Linked DNA regions of Tamandua tetradactyla. Each later gene encodes a partner of the first gene's protein in a complex. Links are inferred from orthologs where the notes say so. Each region holds a gene or a part of one and is shown in the gene's direction. Other genes may lie near its edges.

Region 1 (9,010 bases):
AAATTTAGATTTTCTGTAGCATACTATCTAACTTAACCTGTCTTGCCAGTTTATTTAAACAACCTAAATACAAGAAGCCTAGAACAGAGAATAAGAGCTGATGATTCTGTATAGCTTAATGTAATACCATGTTATATTCCAAAATATTGGGGGCAGATGATAAAAAAAAAAGTATTTGCAAATTCCCTTGAGGGGTTGGAGAAAAAATATGAAACTATTAAACTTTCCCACCTGGGAAATTCCTGATATTCTCTGAAGCACTGTGGACTCCCAATTTAATAAGCCAAGCCCTCAATCTTGTGGCTGGTCCTTATAAAACTTATTTCTGTAATGGTGAGGCTAAGCCTACTTATAAACACACCTAAGAGTCACACCCAGAGAATCTCTTTTGTTGCTCAGATGTGGCCTCTCTCTCTCTAAAACCAACTTTGCAAGTAAATTCATTACCTTTCCCCGCTATGCATGACATGACGTTCAGGGTTGTAAGTCTCCCTGGCAATGTGGGACATGGCTCCCAGGGATGAGCCTGGCCCTGGCATTGTGGTATTGAGAATCCCTGCTGGACCAAAAGGGGAAAAAGAAATGTACCAAAATAAGGTCTCAGTGGCTAAGGGATTTCAAATAGAGTCAAGAGGTCATTCGAGGTTACTCTTATACAAGCTTCACCCAGATATTACAAATTGCCATGGTTTGTCAAGCCCCAGCCAACAGTGTTCCTCTAAACCCTAAAGAATACCCAGGGCTCTATCTCAGACACTATAAAAGTTTTACTTATTAAGTTTTATATTTCAGAAACTTAAAACCTGCAGATTGTTCCTATGCCAGATAATCCCTAAAACTTAGAGTTCCCAAAAGCTCCAAGAACATCAACCAGTTGCATTCTCTTATCCCATAATGTCAATACCCCTTTTTAACATGAAGAAGTGAGAATGGTCATTGTCCAAATATCCCTGAACACTGAGAGAATGATCAAATGAGAGGGAGGAGTTGTAACAGAGAAGTCAAGATTTAACAAATGATTATGACTACTGAATCATTATATAGATATTTATTTTTAGTTTCTAGTATATTAGACCAGCCAGAAGGAAGTAACTGAACCTGTAGAACCCATACTGTACTTTGAAATTTGCTCTATAACTACTTTCTAAACTATACTAAACTATGCTGAAATTAACACATTTTCGTACATATGTTATATTTCACAATAAAAAAAAATGTTTTAAAACAAGAAAATAGGTCAGGCCATTTGAAGCCCCTAAATTTCATTTATTGCAAAGACAGCTTCACATAAGAGCTCTTTTCTCATCATGTTTAAGATTCTGATGCTAGCCATTGGTCTAGACAATTGCTGTGAAGAATTTGCCTTCCAAATATTGCCAAACATGGTCACAAAAGGACCAAGCATCGCCTACACGCCTTCCAAGGACATTAAACCCTTTAGTTAAATAATCATTGGGCTTAGCAAAGAACTGAATACAGGCTCCCTTTAAGCATCTTTTATCCCTTAGCTCTTTTATCTTTTAGGGAAAAAAAAATTCTCAGAAATGAATTTTCAGTAAAACTGAGCTAATTCTCTTGGCAACCTCTCCGGCTCTTCTACACACATTATATAAATATGCATAGTAGTATTGCCAAGAACAGAAAAAAAAAAAAAAAAAAAAAAACAGTGCAGGAAATTACGAACTACAAAAGCTGCAAAATAGTTACCCTCTTTTAGAAACAGCTGTTTTCGCTTAAATTTAATTACTTTTTCCCAGCAGCTTTGAAGGTAAAGGTATTGGTTACTGGATGCAGGTGGTTCTAAATAAAACCAGAACGCTTATTCAATCCCATCTGGGAACACAGGGAAAGACTCGCCCAAGCTGGTGGTAGCAGGTCTGCTTTGAGACAAAGAAACCGTCTTTCAAGTGACTCATGTGAGACATATTTCGAAATCCTTGTTGCGTGCATGAGACACTTTCAGTGACCGACCTGACAAGGCACCCCGAAATTTGACACAGTCCTTTCAGGGAAGACAAGGGTCAAGACTCGCTGACACCTTCCAGGTGAGCCACGTCCTCTATCAGCAACACTCGATGACTTGCGAGAGTCTGCTTCCCAGGAGGGTGCAGAAAGCTTAGGGGAGGAGACCCACTGGAAAAGGTCTGAACATGTCCCAGTCTGGTGGGTTCCAGGCAAGATGAATAGCCAAAGGATTTTTCTCATCTAGGATGAAACTCCCTCTCCTTTTTCTAATGCAGCTTTTCATGAAGCCTACCCTGACCACACTATTTAAAATTGCAACTTATCCTCCTACTTCCCATCTCATAACCATGTTCTATTTTTATTATTTATTTTTTAATGTACAGATATTAAATGTACAAAGTCAATGAACTCTTACATATGCATATAGAATTTTTACAGCACCCCAGAAGGCTTCTTCAGTGGCCCTCACCCAGTCAGACCTAATCTAGTCTTTCCAAAGAATTATCACATTTTAACGTACAGTTTGCCTAACTGGTTCACTGATTTATCCCAAGCAACTAGGATGGTGCCTGGCACCTGGTAGGCACAGGATAAGTAATTGTTGAGTGAATGACTATAAAAAATACACACTGCACCCCTATTCTCCACCCCCACCCCCCACCCCCAGATGTGGTCTATAATCAGAGAAACCTAGGCTGGAATCCTTAGTGTCTACACAGGGAGGTTAAGTGCAGCCATAGGGATGGTGCTTCCCAAATCTGGATGTAGGTATGGATTAGGTAAGTCCTGGTGTCGTCTCTATCCATGCAACATTTTCTTGGACAGATTGAACACTTGATCATGGATCTGCAGGAAGGAGGGGATGCCTTCTTTCATCCAGAGTCATCTCTTGACTCCTAGGTTTTGCTGCCCTTTGCCCTGGTAGAGGCAGAGCCCTCTTAGAACAGCCTCCCTTCTTCTCACTTGGCTGTCGAGACTAATGCAATCGCCCAGTTTGGAGAACTTGGTTCCTCCTCTATACTCAGCTCTGCCAGTTGGTTGCCAGGTTCTGGCCACTTTGCACCCTGGCCATTTCTCCTCCATGCTGTTCCTTGAATCTCCTCCTTTTCCTTTCCTTTGGGCCCACCTTATGTTACTGCACTAGCCTCCTAAATGGTGCTTCCCCTCCACCCCATCTTCAAGCTTATCCTTTTCCATTATTTTTCCTAAAAATACAACTTTTGTTATGTCACTCCTGTAGTCACAGACTTTCAGTGGTTCTCCCATGCTACCAAAAACAAGTCCAAACTCCTTAGCCTTGCATGCCACGGCTTCCAGACCCATTTTCCTCACTGCTAGCAGATGGGTCTTCCCCATTGTCATTGTATTTTCTTGCCTCTATACCTTATCTCTGTTGTTGGGTTCAAAAAATAAGTGCTAGAAGGAACGATTTAAGATCAGCTGTTCAAACTCATTTTCCAAATGAGGAAACTGAGGCACAGACAGATGAAATGGCAGGTCAGCATTACACAAAGATCAAGTCTGACCAATGAGAAAGAAATGTGGGGCAGTCTTGGGTTTAACAATGTCAACTGGATCCTTTCATATGTGTGAAAACAGTGGACCACCTGCGCCTCTACTCTAATGCCTTCTCCAGACAACTCTACCTTACAAATGTGGACCTGAGTCCCACCTCAAGCACCACCTCCTCTATGCAGACTTCATGATCCTCCAGCTGAGAATCCGAATTCTCAGCGCACTGAATTTGTATATCAATCCTAGCTCCCAGGCTACATTTTGAAGAAACGGTTTGATCTCTCTTTGACTTCTCTCCATCCATATCCCTTGACTTGTCCACAATAGGAGCAACAAAAGTCCACTGCATGAAAAGTTATAGGTGTAAGGCATGGCAATGTACATACTGCCAGGGAGGCGCGGTTCACACTCCCTAATTCCAGCCAGCTACTATGCACCGAGTACAAAATTTCCAGCACACTGAGCGGTTCACATGCTGCACCTTAGTTCCTTTTGAACCCAAACCCATAAACGTGAGCAGAATGCCAGCTTGCTGCAATTACAGGATAAGTTTTCTCGACATCTTTTGGTACTGTCTCTGCCCCGGTCCTCCACGCCGCGAACCGCCACGCGCGCTCGGTGACCGGTCCGACACGTGACTTGGCACTGAGAGAGCACAGCTCCTCTTACAGAGGGAGCTGAGGTCCCCCGCGGGCGCGGGCCGTCAGCTTTCCGGGCCGGCGGGGTCACCGACCCCTCGAGGCAGCCAGTCCGGCCGAGGGCGGCGGGAAAGTGACGCGGGGCGGGTGGAGCAGAGAGGCGAGCGCGGCCCCGGGGGGAGGCGGGGAGGGCCAGGGAGCCGAGAGCCGCCGAAGCTGTCGGGCGCCGGGCCTGCAAATCAGGTGACACCCTCGGGGAACGCCGAGGGTGCCCACCTGCTGCCCGGGAGCGCCGAAAGCGCGGGGTTGGAGCTGGGCGCGCCTGCCCGCCCCGGGACTCCCGGCCCTGCCCCTCTCCGCCCCCAGGAGGGACCGAGGGAGGGCAGACGGCCGGGCCCGCCCTCAGCCCCAGCCCCAGCCCCAGCCCCAGCCGCGCGCAGCGGCCGCGGCCGCGGGAGGAAAACGGGAGGCACCACTTCGGAGCGGTGAAACCAGTTTGGCCGGTCCTGGGAAGCCCAGAGAAAAGGGCGGCCGCTGAGGAAGGGCGCGCGGACCCGGGGCGGAGGAAGGCGGGGAGCCACTGGCGGCAGAGCCGGAGGAGCTGCCTTAGCCGCGGTCAACCGGACACGCTTCCCGGGGCCCCGGGCCAGCCCCCGTGCGCCATGAAGCGCTAGCGCGGCGGCCGGGGCTGGGGCGGGCAGCGGCGGCCAGGTGCGCAGCGAGCGCTCGGACGGCGCGCACCCGGCGGATGCCCCAGCCGGGGCCCAGCGAGCGCCAGGTAAGAGAGGGGCGCGACACCCGAGCCCCCGGCCCCGCGGGCTTCCACAGGTCTCCCGGCCGCCCGCGGGCCGGCGAGCTCCGGGGATCCAGGATGCGGTGGCAGCAGCTGTCCGCGTCCTCAGGCTCGGGTGGATTTGCGTCGGGGCTCTGGGAGCCCCCACGGCCTGCCAGGGGTGAGGGAGGCAGAACTGGCCGGGGAGGCAGCGCTTGGTCAGGTTCTTGGGGGTTTTCATCTGCCGGGAGGAGAGGGGCCCGGGTGTGGGCGAGCGCGCGGGAGGCGTTTGCCTTCGCTGGTGGGCTGCGCACACGTCTAGGGCTAAGCTCCGAGGGTCCGGCCAGGCAGGGCGTGCGGCCCCTTGGGGAGTGCCCCGCGGTGGCCGATGCCCCTCTGGGAGTACCCCGTGGCCGGGCTCTGCCGGGAGCTCCCTTTGGGGATCGATGCCCTCGTGTCAGAAAGCGACCTGCGGATCGAATGCACCTGACGGTGGCCGCGCTGCGGGGAGGGGTGGGGTGAGACGCTTGCACCGCGCCAGCTGCGGGGCCAGGGCATCCGCCAGTCATTTCCCGTGCCCTTGTATGCGGATCCGGGGGGGGGGGGGGTGACGGGGAAAATGGACAGTGTTTTTCCGGTGATCGTAGGGTTGTGTGCCCAGCTTCCCACGGCCCTGGCACGGGCCATTTCGGTTCCCTCCCCAGTTTGATGCTCCGCGCTGTCACCTCGCTGTTTGCTTGCCGAGTGGCCTCTTGTTCCGGGTGGGGGTGGGGGGGGTGTTTGATGGAAAGGCGAGTGCTTTAACTCCCCACCTCTCTACCACCACCACCCCGCAAAGTGAAAGAGAAGCCTTTGTAGTGTAATCTCAACTTCTCCGCGGGGCTGTATAGGCGTGCCCGCCGGGGTTGGCCGGGAGCACAGACGGGTGACAGCTGTAGAGGGGCGAATTAGAGATGCAGAAGGGAAGCACAACAGGGGATGGGGGGAGAGCGGGCATGGGCAAGGACCGGGGATCTGGGCCTCCTTTTCGCCCAGTAAGTTCCCTCAACACCACCCGGACCCCATGGCTTGCCCGTGCCGCCTCTGGTTGGCCCCAAATGGGCTCTGGACGCTGAGTTCCCCTCCCGGAAGCTGCCCGCCCTGCTGGCTGGAGAAAAAGATTTGCTCCCATCTTCCTGGTTGTGTTGCAGCCAAAGTTCTGCCCCCCAACCCTTTAGGATTAAAGGAGACAGTACAGGCAGGTAGGTTATTGACAAGGATTAAGTGCTTTTAGGAACAGAAATTCAAAAAGATGTGTGCGACTTCAGCGATAAGTAGGTACAAACACATATAAAATGGGGAAACCACACAAGATGTAAAGTTGTAATTTTCACTTCTAAGGAGTTGTTTGGTATAACACCTAAAATGTCATTCATTAATTCTGGACCTATTGTTGAAGTCTTTATTAAAACTTTTATAGGTGCATATACTGTGCAAAAGAATAATGGTTATTAGCTGATTAATTTCAGAGGGAAAAATCATGCCTGCTTGCAGTTCGTCCTCCGAATTCTCTGAATGATTTTCGTTACATAGTGTAGAGTTCCTTGTTCTGATTTTAGGTAAGAAATCTTAACCACTTTCTTCATTTGCCATTTTCTAGTGCTTGTGCTTTGTTTTTAAATCGTTCGAGTAAACACTCAGCCTGGTCATTTTTAGCGATTCTTTGTGTACATAGTCGGGTGCCAAGAGTTCTGCCTGCAGCTGCCTGCTGGTGACGTGGTGCCGGCCAGGGCAGCGCCAGCCACTTTCCAGCTTTCCTTGTGGATTTTGTTTTAAGAAAAATAAAGTATACCTGTGTGCACTTTTTATTAATACATGTTAGTGGTAGAACTATAAGGTTGGTTGTTTGTTTTTAATGTTGACTCTGAAATAGCGACTAGATAAAGCAAATGGCTTAACAAAGGTAGGCCTTATGGTGTAAGGCAAGTTCAAGACCCTTTCCAGGACCAGGGAGGGATTTTGGTGTCTGGGACCTTAGCATTAGAACCTAGACCAGCTCCACCTGTAGCTTATTCCTTATTCTCTCTTTCAAAGCCGAAAGTAGTAGTAATACTTTATGGTGACAGAAACCTGTGGAAAGCCATGGTAGAATCAGGAACCTTTGGACCTTGGGGCTAAAACTCTGCCAACTGAGTTATTTTAGGTGCCTGGCAGCTTGAGGAGCCCATTGATTTTAGTTCTTTACCTTAGTAATTGTATCTTAGATGAGTTGTTATATTTTTTACACCTCAGTTTGTCCATCTGTTGAAAAAAAAAAGATGACTTGGGTTGTTGAGAGAATTAAATAAGAGAATATATGAAAGTTCTTTGTACATAGTAGGTGTTTTTTCCTTGTTAAACTTTTTTTTTTTTAAGAAATGAGGATGCCCAAGTATTTGGTGTAAAGTTTTAATATTTTGTTGCCTTACCAATTTAATTCCATTTTAGTTGTTCATAAGCTACATTCATGGAATACAATTCATTCTAGAGAGATTTTTATCTAGCTATCTTTGGTCTTTAGTTTCAATCATGTTTCTTATAAAAGAGAAATGCTGTTATGAATGCAGAGGAACTTGCTTTTTTAGGTACCAGAACAAGTTTTATGGGGTCCATCCATACCTCATATCTCTAAAGAGAGGTGACCAAAGTTTTTAAAGCATTCTATTTTAGGATTTGCTTCTAGATTAATCTTGGGCAGCTTTTCTTTGTGGTATCTTTAGGTATTCTGTGACTTTTTGGGTCCATTTGTGGGCATCGTTCAATTCGATTAATTGTGTTCATGCCTCTAGGACTTTTGTTACTTTTTAAGATAAGGAAAAAACTCATTTGCTGTCAAATGAGTTTTAAAAAAAGAAGAAAAGACCTTCTCTTTCTTCATTCTCTTAAATGAATCCCCATCCCTGTGCCCAGCTAAAAGCAATACCCATTCTGGAACCTTTTGAAGAGCTGGGATTTGGGAGGAAGATCTGGAAGTCTAATTAAATAGACAAAAAAACCCAGCCTTGTTTCTCATGCTTATTCCTGGAAAACAAAGGACTTTTTATCATCTGACCATTTAGGATGTGTTAGTGCTTTTACTGATACCTTTAGCATTGCATCGTCTAATAAATTGTTGCCCAAACCATCCACAACTCTGCTTGACAACTGGTACCAGTGAGCACTGAGCCCAGAGGCTGCGGCCAAGTCGAGGTTGGGAGCACTCACTTTGGAGTCTTCTGACCCAGGTTGGAGCCTGGGCTTCTCTGCCTCCTCGTTGTGTAACCTAGGGCAAGTGACTTGCTCTCTCCTAAGCTTCAGTCTCTTTGTCTGTAAAATGGAATAATAGTAGTACCGCCTCATAAAGTTGTGTGATGAGGGCCAAAGGAGATAATTTATGTAAAGTGCTTTGCACAGAGCTCAATGAAAGGTGGTCATTAATATTAGTGTGTTGTTGTTGATATCCTCATTAAATATTTATTGCTCCCCAGCAGTTGCCTTTCTCCCAGGTTCTGCAGGAAACAGGCACGACTCTGCATGTTAACGTTTGTTTGTTTTACGAACATTTAAGGAGTGCCTGTTTTGTGCCAGGCACTCGAAAGAAAGAGTCCCCCAGCTCAGGCCCCCCAGGCCCGGCGTTCAGGAGCATTGGCAGCTGGGGTGCATGATGCCCTCCTGTATTGCCCGAAGCCACAGCCATGGGGGCCCCACCCTCTCCCTCACCTGGCTGCTACTCTCCCTGCCCACACTGAACTCTGCTCTTGCCCCCTTTATTTCCCCCTCACCTCCTGTCCATCTCTCTACTCCCTCACCCTCCATATTCTTGTTTTCTTTTTTAATTATTACTTCCCATTCAGAACTCATTTAGGAGTTGCTGAACCTTGTGTCTATTTTTTAAAGGATCAGTGTTCTCTGCATGCTTTTCTTAGTTGTGGAGCCCAGGTAAGTGCTGCTAATGACAGACAGAGCATCTTGGTGCAATCCCATTTATCTGTTCATCGTTAAAAATGGTTTGAATCCCTACTCTAGGCTCTAGACTTGTGATTACCCCCTGTGTTCTAGTTGTATTTATTAGAAGGGAAAGAAAGTGGGGGGGGGGGGCCAGGGAGGGAAGGAGGGAGGGTGG
Region 2 (8,660 bases), on another chromosome or scaffold:
GTCACAGCCCTCAGTGAGGCCCTTCCCAAACCAGGGAGCTTCATTCCAACCTGGGCAGAGAGCAGAGGAGGATGGTGCCCAGTCTCAGACAGACTGGCTGGTCACACAGACACTGCTTTGCTTTGCTCTATTCACCTTGGGTACGTGGCCCTCTCTCCTTTCACCCTGGGTAGTCTAGTCCGTTTTGATTCAACCCTCTTTCTTATTTGCAGTTACAGAGATCTTCCTTCCCCGCTATCTCAATTCTGTCACCCAGTTGGCCCACCCCTCTCCATATTTCGGGTCTCTCTCCTTCCAGCTCACTAAGCACAAGCCCTACAACTGTGAGCACTCAGCTGGAGTTCAGTCCCATTCTTGCCGGGTTTTCCCTAAACCTGGGAGACCCCTAACCCAACTTCTATACCATTTAAGACCCATTGTCACCTATGAGAATCCATTTTCCATTTTACACTGCCCCCCCGCAGCCCCACCCACCTAATTCTGCTCATAGTTCACTCTCTCTTTGACCTCCAGTGTTTTTCAGGAAGTTAGTGACAAAGAACCAACAAACTGCAGCCAAGAGCCAAGGGAATTCATGTCTGCCTTTTGTACCTTCCATGCTTACAGTGCTAGTTAACTGAAATTTCTATCTTCCACTAGGGGGTACCACCCCATAATTTTTGAAACAGGAAATCTGCTGAATACAGCTCTTAATGAAAAATGAAGCCCAGGCCCAGTGAATTTTTTTTAACTTTTCTGAACACATGCTGTAATTTTATGAAGCAATTTAATTTGATTCTTTTTAAATAAAAGCTGCCCCACGGGCAGAGTAATAGGCACAAATCTTGAGCAGTATAAACTTATATAACGGAACACCAATTAAAAATCCAGGCTCTATTACAGTAAGATAAACAGTCATGAATTAAATGAAATAAATGCAAAAACTCAGTACAGCCAGGCAAGTGAAGTTATTTTTGCTTTAGCAAGAGAAATAATCATACTAAACAAAAGTTGGCTTCAAAACAAAAGCTTTTATAAAACACAAATAAAGGCAGTCAGATGTTCTAGGGCCCTGTATTTAAATAGGACAGAATTCTCTTAACCTTGGAGTATAACCGAAGACTTGCAACACTAAAAACTGGCTCAAGTTTAAGGTCTTTTAGGTTTTTAAGAGAAAGGTGCCAAGTCATTATAGCATAGTGGCTGAAAATGCACAATGCTGGAATTCTTTAAATGCCACATCTTCCACTTATTAGCTTTGAGAACTTGGACGGCCTCCACTTCCTCCGCCTAAGCCATGGTTTCTGCATCGGTTTTAATGGGCCTGATTGTACCTGAGCTTCTTGTGTGAATTAGATGAGATAATGCATATAAAGTGTTTACAGAGTGACTGGCCACAGCAGGCAATAAATGCTAGCTATTATTGTTACTGAATGAATTTGTGTAAGAAAGGCCTCCTGAGATGACTAGACATGGAAATTTTTGCATCGAAAGAGACACGAAACATTTTGGACAATGCGCTTACACAGATAAGAAATCATGGACCAGAGAAGTTAAGCAATTTGACCACTGTTATTCCCTGACAAACCTTCGAGTTTAACTTGGGTTTCCTTAATAGCAGGCCAGCATTTCTTTTCCCCATTCTATAGTGCCTCCTTCTTCAACCTCGCCTACACTATTATCTTTTTCCCTCAGAATGAACACTTCTCGGCCATCTATAAAGAAGCCTTTCCTTTAGGATACATGCTCTTCTAGGTAATTATTACTTGCTTTTCTCCTATTCTTTCCACATATTTCTGAAAAGAGTTGTCCTCACTTTGGCTGCCTTCACCACCTTTTCCCCTCACTTACTACAATCTGATTCCGCTATCATCCAAATCTCTCTGACTCATGTCAAATCCAAGGGCCCTTGTGGTTTCTAATGTCACTTGAATCCTCAGCTGTGTTTAACTATGTTTACCATTCCCTACCTTGAAATACCCTCCTCTTCTGACTTTTGGGACTCTTTGGTGTTAGCTTAACTAGCAGAATGAATAAACTGATGCCTTGAGGTCATCCAGGGAGAAGAAAGGTGAAAGGCTCTGATCTCAACAGAAGGGCACATACTGTTAGGGGGTGGTGAGAACGGCTACTGTGGGACTTGAGAGCCACTAGAATTTTAAAGTCAAATTCCTCATAGGAGACCAGTTTTATGGTCAAGCAGACTGATAATCCACCAACGTAGAGGTAGGTAGAATTCAACCATATGATACAGAGAATCGTTTATTCATTTAGATAGAAATTTGTTGACAATGTTGGACCATCCTCTTTTGGGGTACAAGAAGGATATGAAATTCGAGTTGTTGGAATCTCCCTCAGTATTTTTTGACCGCTAAAGCTTCTGACCTACATTCATTCCACTCAGCAAAATGGATTTTCCATTATTAAAATATTAATGACTCTTTTTAGTTTTCGTATCACTCTTGTGAAGCAATACTTCTTCTTCTTCTTTTTTTTTTTTTTATGCATACGAATAACCTCCAGGATAACCTCTCGACTCTGGAATCTCTCAGCGATTGACACTTTGTCTCATTTCCCTCTTTCCCCTTTTGGTCGAGAAGGTTTTCTCAATCCCTTGATGCTAAGTCTCAGCTCATTCTAGGGTTTTTCTCAATCCCTTGATGCTGAGTCTCAGCTCATTCCAAGATCTCTGTCCCACGTTGCCAGGAAGGTCCACACTCCTGGGAGTCATGTCCCATGTAGAGATGGGTAGAGTGGTGAGACTGCTCGTTGTGTTGGCTGGAGAGAGAGGCCACATCTGAGCAACAAAAGAGGCTCTCTTGGGGGTGACTCTTAGGCCTAAATTTTAAGTGGACTTGACCTATCCTTTGTGAGGTTAAGTTTCATATGAACAAACCCCAAGTCTGGGGGCTCAGCCTATAGCTTTGGTTGTCCACACTGCTTGTGAGAATATCAAGAATTCAACTTGGGGAAGTTGAATTTCTCCCCGTTCTCACCATTCCCCGAAGGGGGGCTTTGCAAATACTTTTCCACTCACTGATCAAATCACTCTGGGATTCATCGGGGGATCACTCTGGACAAACCAGCAAAATCTCATGTCCTACCTGAGATTCCAAGAACTTACGGCGTTCAAACTATCTACATAAGTCATATTAGGAAATGCTCTAGTCAAAATATAAATTTTGTAACAAATAAACATTTTTTGCTTTAGTCTCACACATAAGGTGACATTTTAACATACTAATTACCATCTATTTTCAGCACCCTGTAATAATGACATTCCTTTGTTCTTCCTCATGCAAAAACACTTTTAAAATTGTACATTGTGAAGCAATACTTGATACTTGGTTATTTGCTGCCTATTGGCAACTCTGACTATTTCTTACTCCTGAGTAATGTGTCCACTATAAGACTGCCTTGGAGTGGATGATCCTCTTTAGAACAGTTTTTTCTTCTCTTCTACATTGCTTATCATAGGACTAAGCACTTGGAAGATACTGAAAAAAACTCCTGTTTAACTTACAAGCATCTTAACTTTTCAAATCTCTATGGGTTTTGAATGACTTCCGAATGCAATCTATTATTCAAGGTTCAGAAAATATTTTAATCATTTGCATTCAATGAGATGGAGGAGAGGCAGGAACGCCTCAATACCTAGGGAAGATTCAGCACAAAGCTGAAATGACTTGATAGCCCTTGTGTGTTGTGCCAGCCTAGATCGAAAGGCTGAAATCCCAGGCAATCTTCAGAGCTAATCTGGGTTCTCTTGACCATAAGTGGTATAAATCCTTAAGAGTTCATTTCTTAGACCAAACACTCCAAACAGGTTTGTCTCCTGGGACCTTGGATCAGGCCTTTCTCCACGCGTGTAAACAATCTGAAAAGAAAAGGAAATCACATGTAGTCCTGGGCATTTACCTTCTCGTGTGGCTTCTCCACTAGCTAGAGAGAGAGATACTTGAAGGCTTTGGACCTCTTTCGTCTGACTCTCCTTATTTAAAGATCATTTTTAGAGAACGTTCCATCTATTTTAGTTAGCCAAAGGGAGGCATCAGGCCTGACAACAACTTTCCCTTAAAAAAAAAAAAAAAGCTAAAATTTGAATACAGACACTGAATTCGAACCAGCATTACCACCATGTAATTCCCTGGGCATTAAAGATTTTGTGGCTGGACACGTCCATACAATGACGAGAGGGTCTCGAGTCACCACGCCCCCTCCCCGACCCCGACACAAGAAAAGAGTTCTAGTGTGAAACCTTCAAGCCTTCGGGACCCCCGGTGTCCCCTTACAGCCACTTTCTGCGGGAGACTGCCGCTCTATGATTTCGGGAAGGACAGGCACAGGCCCTCCAGCCACTTGGAAGGCGAAGGGTAACGGAGCACCTGGGCAAGGTACGGCCCACTCGGGGACAGCCTGGGGCCGCCGTTGAACCTCGGGGAGCAGGAGCCGGCGTCCACTCGGACCAGAAGGGAGAGGCAATACGATCCTGGGCCGGCCAGGTGAGGAAAGGAACACCCGCCCGCCTCACCTCGGAAGGGGCGGAGCGCGGCGCGGCTCCCAGAGCCGGCGGGGGGTGGAGCCGGCGGGGATCACCTGGGCCAGGGCGGAACTGAGGGGCTCCGGTTACTGCCCGCGGAGCCCGGCCTCAGGACTCACCTGCGCGGGGGGCGGGGGCGGGGCCGGAGCCAGGACTCACCTGAGCCGACCCGAAACCCGAGCCGGGAGCAGCCCCCCCGCCCCCGGGTCCCCGGGCGCCGACCGGGAGGTGCCCCGCGGCGGCGGCCACCCCCGTGACCCTCCGTGGTCCCGCCGCCATGACCTGGAGCGCCACCGCCCGCGGCGCCCACCAGCCGGACAACACGGCGTTCACGCAGCAGCGGCTCCCCGCCTGGCAGCCGCTGCTGTCGGCCGGCATCGCGCTGCCCCTCTTCTTCTGCGCCGGCCTGGCCTGCATCGGGCTGGGGCTGGGCCTCTACTACACCTCCCACGGCCTCAAGGAGCTCGAGCACGACTACACCGGCGGCCCGGGCTCCGGCAACTGCTCGGCGTGCGCCGAGGCCGCCCAGGGCCGGGCGCCGCCGCCCCGCTGCTCGTGCGCCTGGCACTTCGCGCTGCCCGAGCGCTTCCGGGGCCCCGTGTTCCTCTACTACGCGCTCGCCCACTTCTACCAGAACAACCGGCGCTACGGCGTGTCCCGCGACGACGCGCAGCTGAGCGGGCTGCCGAGCGCGCTGCGCCACCCGGCCAACGAGTGCTCCCCGTACCAGCGCTCGGCCGCCGGCCTGCCCGTCGCGCCCTGCGGCGCCATCGCCAACAGCCTCTTCAACGACTCCTTCTCGCTGTGGCACCAGCGGCGGCCCGGCGGCCCTTACGTCGAGGTGCCGCTCGACCGCACGGGCATCGCCTGGTGGTCCGACTACCACGTCAAGTTCCGCAACCCGCCGCCCGTGAACGGCAGCCTGGCGCTGGCCTTCCGGGGCACCGCGCCGCCGCCCAACTGGCCGCGGCCCGTCTACGAGCTCAGCGCCGACCCCAACGACACCGGCTTCGTCAACCAGGACCTGGTGGTGTGGATGCGCACGGCCGCGCTGCCCACCTTCCGCAAGCTGTACGCGCGCGTGCGCCGCGGCGACTACGCGGCCGGCCTGCCCCGCGGCGCCTACCGCCTGGACATCGCCTACAACTTCCCGGTGCGCGCCTTCGGCGGCCGCAAGCTCGTCATCCTCAGCAGCGTCTCGTGGATGGGCGGCAAGAACCCGTTCCTGGGCATCGCCTACCTGGCCGTCGGCTCCCTCTGCGTGCTCACGGGCTTCGTCATGCTGCTGGTGTACATTCGGCACCAGGAGCCCGACGGCCGGGACCAAGACTGACCCCCGGACGCCGGGGGCCGCGCCTGCCCTGCGCCCAAGCCCTCGCGGCCAGCGCCTTGGGGCCGCGTCGCCCCCCTCCGTCCCCCGGTCCCAGCCGCGCCCCGCTTGTCCTCTGGTGGGTGAGGCAGGGAGAGGCACCCCACCGAGCCGGAGGGCCCCAGACCCTCTGGCTGGGTGGTTTGCACCCCAGAGTGGCACCTCCTTTGAAATCCCCCCCAGCTCCTTCATGGCCCAAGAGTTGATAAGAGTTCTTTGTCTGCCACATTTGAGGGCAGAAGGGACAGGAGAGGTTCAGCCCACCCTTCATCAGATGTAGAAAGGGAGAAGTTAAAAGGTTAAATAACCCATTCGACGGCAAGTGGTGTTGGCTTCAGGGCGGGCCACGGTGGCTCAGCGGGCAGAGCTCTCGTCTGCCATGCTGGAGTCCGGGGCTCGAATCCTGCTGCCCGCCCATACCAAAACAGAAGAGAAAAATGGTATTGGCCGCAGACCCTGAGCCTAGAACGGTTGCCACACAGTTGAGATGTAGTTTGTAAGGTCCTATCCCAGTGACTGCCACACACAGCTTAAGGGTGGTCCCCTGAAGCTGCATTTTCACACATTCCTCTGGAGGTGCCTGTTTCCTCGAGCTTGGAACTCGCCGCCCTGAACCAGGGAGGAAGTAGAGGACTTAGACTTACCGAACAGCCTGAAGCTGTTAAAGGAGTCATCTGAGTTTTCCAGGCAGTAGTTCCCAAGGGCTGCAGCAACCACAATTTGGCAGGTTTGGTTTAGTACACTCTCTTGCACAGAGGGAGCCTCAATGATTTGTGGAGTGAATGAAAAAATATTGCTATCACTCGTAAATGACTTGGCATACAGATTTGCAGGACAATGCTGATGTTAATTTCACTTATTATTTGAGTGTTAAAAAAAGAAAAAGAATAAAACACTTTACCAGGTTGTGTGTAGAGACTTGAAAATTCATGATCAGTTTGTACAAGTTAGGGGGAATATTTAGCCCTAGAATATGACTTCCCTACAGTCGTATCTGTGACTCCTGGCTGGGTCCTCTTTATCATCTCATTTGTTAAATACTTGGCGAGAAGAGCCTCCAATCATACCTTTTCCTTGGATCTGAGAAAAAGCTTCCTTTTAATGTGTTCTCAAAGGAATCATGTTTCCAGTAATCATGTTTGAATGAATGCTAAAGAATATGGTTTTATGTATAAACTGGAGTCTTAAGAATTATTTGGGACTTTGAGATCATTTTAAGTCTGATTACTGTATATGGATAAAGTTATTCTTAAGAGCAACTGAGTACTTTTTTAAAGCCTTCCTTGGATAACAAAATAACTCCAAAAGAACTAAAAGCAAAAGACCCTAATGATATCATCTTAACCAATCTCTTTCTTGAAAGCAGACAGCACTTAGTATTTTCTCAGACAGAATACTCTCTGTTAAAGCTATTTTTCAATTCCTGATGGTTTCGCTCAGACCTTGAAGGCAGTGCAAGATCTTGAACTATTTTTAGTGTCAAGGAAATATTGAATTGTATTGAAAAGTTTTCATTGATTTTATTTTACTTATTATAGTTCTTTGAAATTTAATAATTAATCTATGCACAGCATGTTTACTGACATCTGACTCGAATCTTCTGCGACAGTTGTAACTTAAGAAATTCTGTCCCCTTTTATATACAAATTCTTCCAAATTTTATAGTTACAATGGGTTGGTCTCCCAACTTTTAAACATGACACAGTTGTACTGGTAGGTGTGGATTATGATTTTAAACTATCGCCATTATATGTACATAGAGTAATTTTTATTTATTATGGATATTTGATTGAGCAGCCTAGCTCAGCCTTCCTCTATACTGGATAAGAGAATTTACTACATTTTTTTTTGTACTGTGTACTTTAACGATGATTTCTAGAATATTCACTTCATTGCTATAAACTTTTAAATAAGATCATGAAATCTAAGGCATCTGATTCAATTATTGAAAATGGTTCCAGCTCCCTTTCTCTTGGGTGTTGAAAGAGAATAAAGGTTCTGTTTGTCTTAGTCTTGCTGTTGTGTTTGCTTAATTCTTTTGAACTATGATCTTAAAGGCACATGCAGTATCAACCACTTTGCTCATTTGTTCTTAGCAGATTAATATTGCATCAGGAAAATCATCTTTCAGGAGAAGGCTTCCTTAAAGTGAACTCAATTTGTCATTATTATCTTTGTGGAACAGAATTTGAACTTCTGTCAGCAACATGTTATATGAATTAGATGGTTCTCAATGTTTGAATTTGGTAAAATGTAGTTGATTTTTAAAATTGTCGCATTTAAAATTATTGAAGGTGATTGCAGCAATCCTCTCCATTTCTGCATTTTATTCAAATTTTGAATTACAATAATCCAATTATATGTCAGATATTTTGGACAACAAAGTAGTAGAAACCTTAAAAACAAAACTGTGAAACATTACCTCATGATGTTGGCAGAATTTGTCTCATCTCGGGGTTCTAGTTGGACTTGAATTCTCATGTTATCCACTGCATGTGCCTTAGCTGGCAGTGAGGAAAAAAAAGAGGGTGAACCTCAACAACACGACTGGAAATGTGCTTTCACTTACCTTGGAAAATAAAACCAAAAGAGAGAATAAAGAGGCCAGTGGGTGTTCCTGAAACAGATCGATTTAGCAAGAGGTATCTCCCCAATCACTTCAACTAAACAAACAATTAGCTGGCTTTGCAATTATTAAAAATCAGAGACAGAATAATAGCCTGGAATTTCCATAAGTGGCAAAATGCACAGGCACAACCTTTTCTGTCTCAT

What was found.
Region 2: the proteins of ATP8B1 (region 1) and TMEM30B are in contact, whole or in part, in a cryo-EM structure (PDB 7VGH), measured with the Homo sapiens proteins. The link is inferred for Tamandua tetradactyla from reciprocal best matches to the Homo sapiens genes ATP8B1 and TMEM30B. Residues at the interface, in NP_001361314.1 of Homo sapiens: Trp362, Val366, Ser369, Ser370, Trp371, Tyr372, Leu373, Tyr374, Asp375, Gly376, Phe418, Trp421, Asp422, Leu423, Tyr426, Asp431, Pro433, His939, Trp942, Arg946, Tyr968, Phe971, Asn972, Gly973, Ser975, Ala976, Gln977, Leu1003, Gln1005, Phe1049; in NP_001017970.1 of Homo sapiens: Gly9, Ala10, His11, Gln12, Pro13, Asn15, Phe18, Thr19, Gln20, Gln21, Arg22, Leu23, Pro24, Ala25, Trp26, Gln27, Pro28, Leu30, Ser31, Ala32, Ala35, Leu38, Phe39, Phe46, Leu49, Leu53, Tyr109, Tyr111, Asn116, Phe117.

Annotation. Positions count from the first base shown.
Region 1 is NC_135344.1:24,481,184-24,490,193, forward strand, and holds the start of ATP8B1 (phospholipid-transporting ATPase IC), read left to right. Parts: upstream 1-4,820; 5' UTR 4,821-4,896; intron 4,897-9,010. UniProt on the Homo sapiens protein: Catalytic component of a P4-ATPase flippase complex which catalyzes the hydrolysis of ATP coupled to the transport of phospholipids, in particular phosphatidylcholines (PC), from the outer to the inner leaflet of the plasma membrane.
Region 2 is NC_135338.1:3,545,767-3,554,426, forward strand, and holds TMEM30B (cell cycle control protein 50B), read left to right. Parts: upstream 1-4,560; 5' UTR 4,561-4,796; coding exon 4,797-5,852; 3' UTR 5,853-7,623; downstream 7,624-8,660. UniProt on the Homo sapiens protein: Accessory component of a P4-ATPase flippase complex which catalyzes the hydrolysis of ATP coupled to the transport of aminophospholipids from the outer to the inner leaflet of various membranes and ensures the maintenance of asymmetric distribution of phospholipids.